2 linked regions of the Tribolium castaneum genome follow. The protein of the gene in region 1 purifies or fractionates together with the protein of each later gene. This does not show direct contact. Links are inferred from orthologs where the notes say so. Each region holds a gene or a part of one and is shown on either strand. Other genes may lie near its edges.

What was found. The genes of interacting proteins can lie anywhere in the genome.
Region 2: the proteins of CCT8 (region 1) and viaf purify together in Homo sapiens (affinity purification with mass spectrometry; 3 studies listed by BioGRID and IntAct, with this or other methods). This does not show direct contact. The link is inferred for Tribolium castaneum from reciprocal best matches to the Homo sapiens genes CCT8 and PDCL3.

What each region holds. Positions count from the first base shown.
Region 1 is NC_087397.1:4,704,147-4,710,160, forward strand, and holds CCT8 (T-complex protein 1 subunit theta), read right to left. Parts: upstream 3,513-6,014; 5' UTR 3,402-3,512; coding exon 3,342-3,401; intron 3,245-3,341; coding exon 2,324-3,244; intron 2,277-2,323; coding exon 1,842-2,276; intron 1,562-1,841; coding exon 1,343-1,561; 3' UTR 1,241-1,342; downstream 1-1,240. Other genes in the region: putative bifunctional UDP-N-acetylglucosamine transferase and deubiquitinase ALG13, read left to right, coding at 1-71, 120-297, 345-603, 648-1,093; Pen (importin subunit alpha-5), read left to right, coding at 4,273-4,326, 4,376-4,740, 4,786-5,356, 5,409-5,591, 5,640-5,822, 5,869-6,014. UniProt on the Homo sapiens protein: Component of the chaperonin-containing T-complex (TRiC), a molecular chaperone complex that assists the folding of actin, tubulin and other proteins upon ATP hydrolysis.
Region 2 is NC_087394.1:28,839,660-28,844,137, forward strand, and holds viaf (viral IAP-associated factor homolog), read right to left. Parts: upstream 2,699-4,478; 5' UTR 2,555-2,698; coding exon 2,549-2,554; intron 2,492-2,548; coding exon 2,359-2,491; intron 2,304-2,358; coding exon 2,075-2,303; intron 2,026-2,074; coding exon 1,817-2,025; intron 1,763-1,816; coding exon 1,647-1,762; 3' UTR 1,554-1,646; downstream 1-1,553. Other genes in the region: maternal embryonic leucine zipper kinase, read right to left, coding at 421-681, 733-915, 963-1,184; protein arginine methyltransferase NDUFAF7 homolog, mitochondrial, read right to left, coding at 2,825-3,362, 3,416-4,116. UniProt on the Homo sapiens protein: Acts as a chaperone for the angiogenic VEGF receptor KDR/VEGFR2, increasing its abundance by inhibiting its ubiquitination and degradation.

The sequences.
Region 1 (6,014 bases):
GAAAAGCGCACCGTAAACTACACGGATTTGTCTCCTGAAAACGACGCAAAACCGTGGCCACTGCCCTACAGGTACACAAACAAATTTAAATAACAATACTACGACCGTTGTGAATTTAGATTTACCAAAAACCAAGTGGCGACTCCGTCCCAAGCCGTCACACTCGAAACCAAGCTAAAATTACCGAAAAAACGTAAAGATAAACGCCGAGTGAAAAGTAACAGCGAGTCTCAAACGCAAGCGGTTTCATCGCAACAGCTTGCCCAAGATATTGAGGCTTTCATTGGCCAGCCTTTGGTAAATAAAGTCACAGAACGGGATAAAACGTAACTGTGTTTTTTAAGCAAATGCAAAATAATTCCGGACAGAATTACAACCAAGCGCAAAGTCCCCCAGAAATATCCAGCTCGCAGTCGCAACATAATTTGCTAGTAACCCCTGATATTCCATCGCCGATGCCCAAATTTTCCTGGGAGACTCCTTGGAGCACCGCTGCTGCGGCCTCGTGCGAGAAATTCGTTTGGTCGCAACCAGCGACTTCCCCGGGGATGAAGCCGATGGTGGCCTCAGCTCCCACCACTCCAAACGTGATTCCTTACCACGGTAGAGTTACAATAGTGTTGCCATTTTCACATTTGTCAGTACAGATTCGCAATATCCCTTCGTCTACAATTACCCTGTGGACAGTTCGTTCAACTCGTGGAACAGCAGCTCTGTCTACAGTCCTCCGAGTCAATTTCCGCTGGAACCGGACGAGGACAACGAAAATGTGGACAATTTCCAGGAGTACGCTGGGAATTTTGAGGCGCAGCCGGCGAAAGAGATACCGCCACTGATTCTCCCGCCTCCCAATCCGCCAGTTGAGATCTACTCGGCTGTGATCCCCATTCCTCCGGGAACTCCCGTGATTTACACACACACTCCCGAAGGACCGGAAATGATGGTTTACACGCCGCCAGTTGATGTGCAATACGTTTCGCCAACACCGTACTTCTACTCGCCGACGATACCAACCACTTGGTATCCGCTAGGAATCAATTCCCAGGGATTTATTTTCCCAACTCCAGTCAACCAGAATTTGCAAAACAATTAAGAGCGTTTCATTATGAATGTTAATGCTTTGAAGAAATTTATTTTTGTTATTTTTGTCAGAGTTCAATTAAGTTTATCATGTTTTTCCTTATTAATGCATTTAATTATTGAGTTTCGTTTTCGTTGAAAGGTTCTGAGAAATAAAACGTTATTTTCGATACTTGTTATTTATTAATAACTGTTAAATAATACATGTGAAAGTGCAAATACAAAACGTTAAAGTATTGTTAACGAATTAAAAAAAAACTATTTATGATTCGTCATCGCTTCCTGCTGCTTGTCTCGGTTTGGGTCCTCCGGCCCTCTTCGCCATGATTATCTGGTCCACTCGGAGAATGGTAGCAGCAGCCCCCACGGCATACTTCAGCCCCCAGTATTTGCAAGAGTATAAGTCCAAAATGTTCTTTTCCAAGGCGTCGCAAATCGTGCTTTCGGCGTCAATATCAACGCCGACATTTTTCTGTTCGTTCTGCAGTAGCATATTAAAAGTGTTACAAACACCCTCACTATTACACTAGCCACATAAAATGAAATTATCGATTCAATTGGTGATTTTACGGTTAAATAAATGCGTGATTAACTGATCACAAATTTGATTGGTCCATTCGCGTTGTTAACTTTTAACAACGAATTAAATTTTTACAAAGCTTTTTGTAAACCGGCGCTTAATTTAATAATTTAGTGTACGTATCGAGTTGCAAATTTCAAAATAAAACAAACTACCAAAAATAATGCAATAGCTAGCTCACCTGATGAGCTTGGAGAATTTTTTCTAAAACTACAGTAGACCGATGCCCGCTGTTGTCGGCAAGAGTCTTCGGAAAACTTTCCAAAGCTGTTGCAAACTTCCTGACAGCGTATTGTTCCAAACCGGGAAGAGTATCAGCATATTGAGTCAACTGATGCGCTAATTCGGCTTCAACGGCGCCTGCCCCAGGCAGGAAACGCCCATCACGTGATAAACCCTTGAAAGTGTTAACACCATCGTCAATCGCTCGTTCGATATCGTCCATATAATTATCAGTAGCCCCACGAACGACAACGGTGGAAATTCGGGACTCTTTCCCTTCAAGCCTGAAAACCACAATGGGGGTATCCCCGAGTTCCTCAACACAGACCACATCGCAGTAGCCCAGTTCTTGAGGGGTGGGGGCGGTCAGACGAGGCAAAACAGTCGCTCCAACCTTTAAAAAAATTACTAGAAATTGAAATTTATTTGGGTCTTAAGTACCGTTTTGCTGAGCCTTCTCACATCGAATTTCGAGTTAAGCCGCACTGCCATCAGTCCGTACTTGTGGATGTAGTGCAGGGCCATGTCCCCAAACTTGGCCCCGGCCACTATCACCTTAGCCCCAGTGTCGGCAATTGACTTGATCTGTATTTCCAAGAGATTCTCCTCTCCCCTACTAAAATTCATCAACTCATCTGCGGTTTTGATCAAAACGGTTCCCTTGGTCTCAGTTTGCATGATATCGACTGCACAGCTGAAAACAGCAACTTTGGCGTTCTGCACTTTAGTGATTTCGCCCTCGACGTGTCTCTTAAACACCATTCCTTGGACAACTTGCGAGCTTTGCAAACCCGAACCTAGCACCTTGCAAACACGCACATTGTCAACGTTGAATGTGGTGTCCTCGGGCAGGATTGAAACACACGCTTTGGCCACTAAATTAGCCAAAAAGTCCTCGTGTCCGTACTGTTTTGACTGAATCGAGGTTCTAATCCCTTTAACGACCTCATTCAAGTTTCTGTAATCCTTGATTTCGTAACAGACTAGTTTCGGGAGGATTTCGAGACACTTTTCCAGGGCTTTCTCATAGCCCTCGGCCACTTCGGTCGGCGTGACCCCCAGTCTGATCAGCTCTTCCGAGGCCTCCAGAAGGGCCCCAGCCAGGATAATGACAAAGTTTGTGCCATCACCAACCTCGGAATCTTGCATTTGACTCGCGAGAATCATTAATTTGGCCGCGGGATGTTCAATATCCAGTTCTCTAATAATAGTGGCGGCATCACTGGTCACAAACTGCTTCTCAAGGTGGTTTATCACCATCTTGTTCATGCCATTGGGGCCGTAAGCCGAACGCACGGACTGGGCAAATTCCTTGCAAGCGTTAATATTTCGAATGACGGCTTCTTCGAGGCCGGAGTAGTGCTAGAAAATGCGAAATTTGAGAGATTTACGCCGATTTGCCGGCCCTTGTGCCGACCACATGTCACTTCGGGGATCGATTTTGGAAATTAGGACTTACCCGGGCGCCTTCTTTCAACATCTGGGCGAAGCCCGGGGCTTTAGGGACGTGAAGAGCCATTTTTGAGACCGATTTATTTTTTTATAAGCGAAATATTAATAATCGAAAAAGTTTGCACAACAATGGACATGTGAACTTTTGGTGACTAATTTGGTGGGTTCAGCGCCACCAACATGGGCAAGAAATAGAACCAAATGGCACGGCTGCTCATGCATGCGCATTGGTTTACGCTCGCTTTTTAAAATTCGGGATCGGGAAAAAAAACTGTATTTTAACTCCCGGCAATCCATTACAATCCCGGCAGCGTCATCAGCAATTCTCGAGGGTCTAAGCATGCAACTCGCATACGTTCGTTGCATAACGTCAGTCGTCGAGCTTTAAACTTGTGTTTTTGCACTCGTATTATTTATTTATTTTTTAATCCTCTTTAAGTGAAATGTCGAAAAATTAAGGCATTTAATTCACAGAATGGTAATTCTTTGTTCGTGAGTTGGGCCCAATCTTACCTTCGCATTTTAAATTTTCCGAAATTGGATTGGCTATAAATCGGCGCGAAGCACCATCCACTCATATTCAAATAATTCTCCAAATTTGATAATTCTATTGGCCAATTTGGTGGGACTGCTTTTCTATTGGCCAAGTGAAGCTTGCTCGTTATTGGCTGCCCGTCATTAATTGTCAGTGTGACGTTCAGGAACTGCAACGGAAATTTTGACCGTAGAATTTTTGTCGTTTTATTTTTTAATCGGTTGTGGAGACTATTCACTAATAGTTTTAATAGTTTTGGTGCCTAGTTTAAATATAATAGGTGAGTAGATAATCAATGCCCGAATCAGATGAATTAACCTAAAAAAGGCCCTTGAAATATCAAATCAATTTTTTGTTCTTCACCTATCAGTGACCCTGTTGCACGTTTCTAACTTCCAGAAAAATGGGAGACGAGAACAGGATCCGTTCGTTTAAAAACAAGGGAAAAGACTGTGAAGTGAGTATCAATCATGTGCAATTTTGCGATTTTGAGACTTCTCGTGTAGGAAATGCGCCGCCGACGGGCCGGCCAGACCATCGAACTGCGGAAAGCAAAAAAGGAAGACCAGTTGTTGAAGAGGCGCAACATATCGTTGCAAGAAGAGGCCTCAACTCCCCTTCAGGAGAACAACTCCGTGTCGCTGATCACCATGTCTGCCGAAGAAATCTTGATGGGTAATAACCCCACTCCCGACTTGCCCCATTTTAATGACCTGATAACAGGAATGATGAGCCCTGACGAGAACCTCCAGTTTAAGGCCACCCAAGCCTGCCGCAAAATGCTCAGCCGCGAGCGGAACCCCCCAATCGACCACATGATCCGCTTGGGGGTTGTCCCGCGATGCGTCGAGTTCCTGGGCAAGACCCACAAGTAAGCGAGAGCCTAGCCTTGCATCTTATTAATTTTTTTAAACAGCCCATCGCTGGTGTTTGAGGCTTGCTGGGCCCTCACGAACATCGCGTCTGGCACTTCCGAGCAGACCGCAGCCGTGGTCCAGGAGGGCGCCCTTCCTAAGCTCCAACAGCTGCTCTCCTCAAACCGCATCGACGTCGTGGAGCAGGCCATCTGGGCGATTGGTAACATTGCAGGTGATGGGCCCGAGAGCCGCGATTTGGTGCTCAACTACGGCGTTTTGCCCAGTCTTATCAACTTAATCAAACCAAACACTACCTTGTCCTTGTTACGCAATACTGTGTGGGTTATTTCTAATCTTTGCCGCAATAAAAATCCGTACCCCGATTTTGAGTTAGTCAAGCCGGCTTTACCCGTCTTGGCGAGACTTTTGTCGCATGACGATAAGGATGTTTTGGCCGACACGTGCTGGGCTTTGAGTTATTTAACCGATGGTAGCAATGAGAAAATTCAAGCGGTGCTTGACACCGGTTTAATTGACCGCCTAGTTATGCTTTTGTATAGTGAGGAAAGTACCGTCCTAACTCCGGCCTTGAGGGCCGTTGGTAACATTGTGACCGGAAACGACCATCAGGTATAAGGCCACTCAATCAATTGTTAAAAGTATTAATAATTTCGTTTGGTAGACTGATATGGTGATCAATGCCGGGGCTTTAGATTGTATGATCCGTTTATTGCAACACAGTAGACTGAACATTGTCAAAGAAGCTGCCTGGACAGTTTCAAACATTACTGCCGGAAATAGTGAGCAAATCCAAAAAGTCCTAGATGCCGGGATTTTGCCTTATCTTCTTCACGTCCTACAAACCGTATTGTTGCCACGCTTTGTCCGATTTTTCCTAAAACGTGACTTTTAGGGCGACTTTAAATCGCAAAAAGAGGCAGCTTGGGCTGTTACTAATTTCACAAGTGGCGGGAATTCCGCCCAATTGGCGCAACTTGTGGAAATGGGGGCGTTGAAACCCATGTGTAATCTCCTGAATTCCAAAGATAGCAAGACTATTATCGTGGTGTTGGAGGGATTGAATAACATTTTATCGGTGAAAAAAAATTTGTGTTGGAATTTTGTCTAATTGTCGATTTTAGGCCGCTGCCAAGTTAAATCAAGCCGAGAAAGTGGCCATAATGATTGAGGAGTGTGGCGGTTTGGACGGTATTGAGGCCTTGCAAAGTCACGACAATGAGAAAGTCTACGAACGGGCTTTGCACATTATCGAGAATTATTTCGCCGA
Region 2 (4,478 bases), on another chromosome or scaffold:
AAACGGCCAAGTGACGCTTTTTGGCCTCAACAACCACTTTAGCCCCGCAATTCCAAGCCGATTAAGAATGAAAGTAGCGCCAGAAGAATACGCTTACACGATTTTTCTCATCAATAAGGTGCTAAGACGGAATTTCATCAACAATTTCGTTTGGTTTTTCTGCGGGTGCCTCACGTTTTGTTGCACGCTGGGCTGCTCAATGTGTCCGGTGGTTTATTTTAATAAGAGGACAATCAAGTCGTTACATAGAACATTAAAATCGGAAAATAACCGCTTGTATAATAAGCTGGGAATGCACTGGTCGTTGCACAAACAACACCTTGCGCCCTTTAATATAGTAGAATACGTGATAGTGATCAACTTCTTACCGAAACCAGAAATATATGTACCCGATTAAGATAATAAATAAACTCAACTCACCAGAATTTTTTTATACAAGCTATCGATGTTTATGTCATCAAAGGGCAAAGCCCCGACTAGGAGAGCATAGAGCAGGACCCCCATGGCCCAGACGTCCACTTCGGGCCCCAGATATTTCTTCCCCAAGACTAGCTCGGGGGCCGCGTAGGTTGGAGAGCCGCAAGACGTGTACAGGGGGCTCCCCATGCCCCCCTCAGGCCGGGCACATAAGCCAAAATCAATCAGCTTCAAGTTCTGGTCTTTATCGAGAAGGACGTTCTCCTGCAATTATTTTGTTACTTATATGTATTGAAAAGTTGTGAAAACACCTACTGGTTTAAGGTCCCTGTGTGCATACCCCAGACTGTGCAAATAAGCCACCCCTGACACAATTTGCCGGAAAAAAGTGCGGCTTTCCGATTCACTCAAGCGGTTTTTTTCGACAATGTGGTCAAACAGTTCGCCACCTGAGCAGTACTCAATAACTATGAAAAAGTGCGTTTCCGACTCAATCACCTAAAAAGCACAATTAGCAAGGCCTTTACGTTCTTTATGGTTGTTACTTGGTAGAGTTTGCAAATGTGTTGGTGTGAGAACGACTTTAAAGCCTTCAGTTCCAGTTTGACCCTTGGCAAGTCATCGCCAAGTCCCGTCTTGTTCATTATTTTAACTGCGACCTTTTCTCCGGTTGCTACATGAGTTGCGAGCTTAACTTTAGCAAATCCTCCACAGCCTATCGTCTTCTCAATCTCATACAAGCCTTTCAGTTCAGCGTAACGCACCATTTTGACTACTTGACAAACACTTGTTCTCCGACTACTTTATCACACAAAAACGGACAGTTGCACGATTTTTTGCTCAAATTACACACATATTTTTGTTAGAAATTTGCAAACATTAACGAATTTTCCGCATTTGAATTCGAATTGTTTTGACATCTGTCACTGGGCGGAGGACGCCGGTAGTCTGCGGTGGAAGTTGTGCTGGTTCGAATCACCAGTGGATCGAAAAGAAGTTTTAAGCCGAAAAGTTGGCCAAATCTTGTGTTTGATTTTTGGCTTTGGAGATTCTCTAATGTAAGGCACAATATCGCCTGTTTTTCTATTAAAAAATTATTTTTTGGGGTGCAAGTGTGGGAGTTTGAAACACTGGTAGATCAAAAAACTAATTTATTCAATACAGCAACAGCAATAAATAATAAAATTGTTACAAAATTCGTTAAGTAGATAAAGATGATTATTGCCGCATTACCAATCATTGGTACTAGCCAAATCTGCGAACATTTTATCTTTGATTTTCGGCTTTGGGTCTTCTTTAATACTGGTCTCAATAGCGCCTGTTTTTCCAATTAAAAATTCAAACTCTGGAAAAATAATAATTCAAATAATGTTTCACAACTAAATATTAATTTTCGTACCGTCTTGGGTCATATTTGGGCCCCTAAGTTCGACTGGACCCACAATTTGCGATTTTAATTCCCCTTCAAAGTACACAAAGAGAGTTGGTAAGTTTTTGTCGGGATAATTTGGTATACAAGTCGTTGAAATTGATTTCAGGAACTTAACAGCTGGGTATTTAGCTGCAAGTTGCTTCATATATTCATTAATTAGGGCACACAGCGGTATTCTGTAAAATAATTGTGTATTATTATAAAAACCACAACTTTTAGTCTTACCCTTGTTTGTATAAATGTAAAACAACCCAAATGCCTGTGCCAGCTTTATTAACTTCCTGCACATAATCTTGGGCTGAAATTTCACCTACTGAGCCAAATTTGGCTTTTTCAGCCAATGCTCTCATTTCAGCTATCCTCTTATTCCTGTATTCAAGAAGAACAGCTTCATCTTCAGAATCTTCCAACTCGTCTAGCTCATCAAGGTCTAGCTTTGAAAAATCTTTACCAGCTAAAAATGGACAAAAGTGAACAAAGTTTATTTTTGAATTTTAATGTGCAATCACTTGAGGTTTTTTGTTCAATTGTCTCTTCCAACATAGACACAATTTGATCCTCTGTTATCTCTGTTTCCTTCTTAGGAGGAATAATTCCCTTGCTTCTGAGAACATCGTTCCATTCAGTGTCCTCATTGGGGTCCTAAAATTATTAAGACCAGGAAAATAACACAAAAAAACCTCACATTAATGTACAAACCTGCATTTTGTTAAACTGTATGAGTCAAAAATATTAAAATTTTGAATTATTTACTGTTGAAGCTCTACATGTGACTACTTTACAAAAAAGGAAATTTGTGTAGTAGGCATGACACATCCGATGTTTTGCCGTCACGTAACATATTGTCATCTCGCTTTACCCCGAATGTTGGACGAAGATCGCAACAGTGACTCTCCCAGTTTGTTTTCGGAGTGGGGATAGTAGACAGCGCCAAATTTAAAACTTGTTCTCATTTTTATTTTTATTTAACATTAATTAGTGAAACCCAGCAACTGAATACTTCTTCAACAGTTTCTCCAAAACGGCTGGTAAAAGCGCCAAGAACTTGAACCGCTCGCCCATTTGGTTGCTTTCAGTCATCATTTTGTACCCAAATTCTAAACCCTCTATTTGGTCCGGTTTTGCATTTGCTTTAAGTGCCTTGAACCGATGCTCTATCCCCATTTTGAGCAAAAAGTCTCGCTGAGTAGTTGGCCCAAAAGTGATCACCCCTCCAGCTTCAGTGGCGCTTTTTGAAAGTGCGTCAAAATCTACATCAGCTGTGAGGTCTGCAGTGCCTGGTTCTACCAAAGGGTCGTGCAATTTGTGCTTTTTGAAGGCTCTGAATGTGTCAGTGCCGCTGCCATTGTGGCCGTAATCAGCAATCAGGGCTAAACCACCGTCTATTTCTAATCTCTCTGCAATTTGTTTGGCTAAAACTAGACTTTCAGGCGATATTTCAAAATGTTCGCGAGTCTCATTTGGTCTAATATAAAGTTTTGAAGCTGGAGTTTCCTCTCTGGCTATAACATACCTGGAAAGATATTTATACTATTACTTGTAGCAGTTTGAGTCAGCATAAAATACCTAAACGAACATTCTTTAGAAAGGTCTATATCTATTAAAATTTCCCTATAACCGTCTTTAGTCTTTTGGAACTTATGTACAGGCAAAGCGTCAAAAAATTCATGAGCTACCAATAACGTGAAACAATTCGGAACATCATCTAGTTGCCTGTACCACTTTACGGGAATCCCCTGATGACTTATCCCTTGCCTATGTATCACAGACTTTTTATCAATAATATTGTCCGACTGGATACACAGTTTCCTTGCTTGCAAATCACTCAAAAGAGGACTGACTTCAACCAAGTGCAAAGTGGCACTCTGTAGTGCGCCGAAATGGTCAAACACTCGCAACAAATCCTGACTTAAAGTGCCACGGCCTGGCCCTAATTCAACAATTTGAATTGGTTTAGGGGACCCCACTTTAGACCACTCATTCAAAAACCAAATGGCAACCATTTCTCCAAACATTTGATTGAGTTCTGGGGATGTAATAAAGTCCCCTGATTCACCAAACACGTCTTTGTGCATGTAATAGCCACCTAAAGGGTTTATTAACACTTCCTTCATGTATTCAGCGACTGTGATAGGGCCGGTGGCTTTGATTTTTGAGTAAATTTGCTTAGCCACTTGATGAGGGTCTTTGACGGACTCGTTACTCTTGACGGTGTAATACGACCGAAGGGTTTTTACAATACGGGTGCAACGTCGTATTTGAAACATTGTTCCTATTAATTATTTTTGAAATTTTGGAATAACCTCACTCTTGTCAGAGTGACAGTAGGTCTAGCGCTCCACCTTGTTAGATAATTGATTTTGTTTAAATAAAGAAGAAGATGTGAATATTTAAATTCTGTGACACGTATGATAACAGAAATTGTGCCCAACTAAAATAAAAAACTACCCAGTTAATCAAATTTTAAGTGAAATTTAGAGAAAATTAGGTCTAATGTCCAGTAGATAAATCCTTTGACAAGTCTAAATCGTATCATAACCACAGTTTTTCAGCGTGCCCCAGTTGTCACGTGTAATGTAATTTCTGGCGTTGTTTTTGTTTACAGGCGCCGGTTTTGGATAAAATAAAG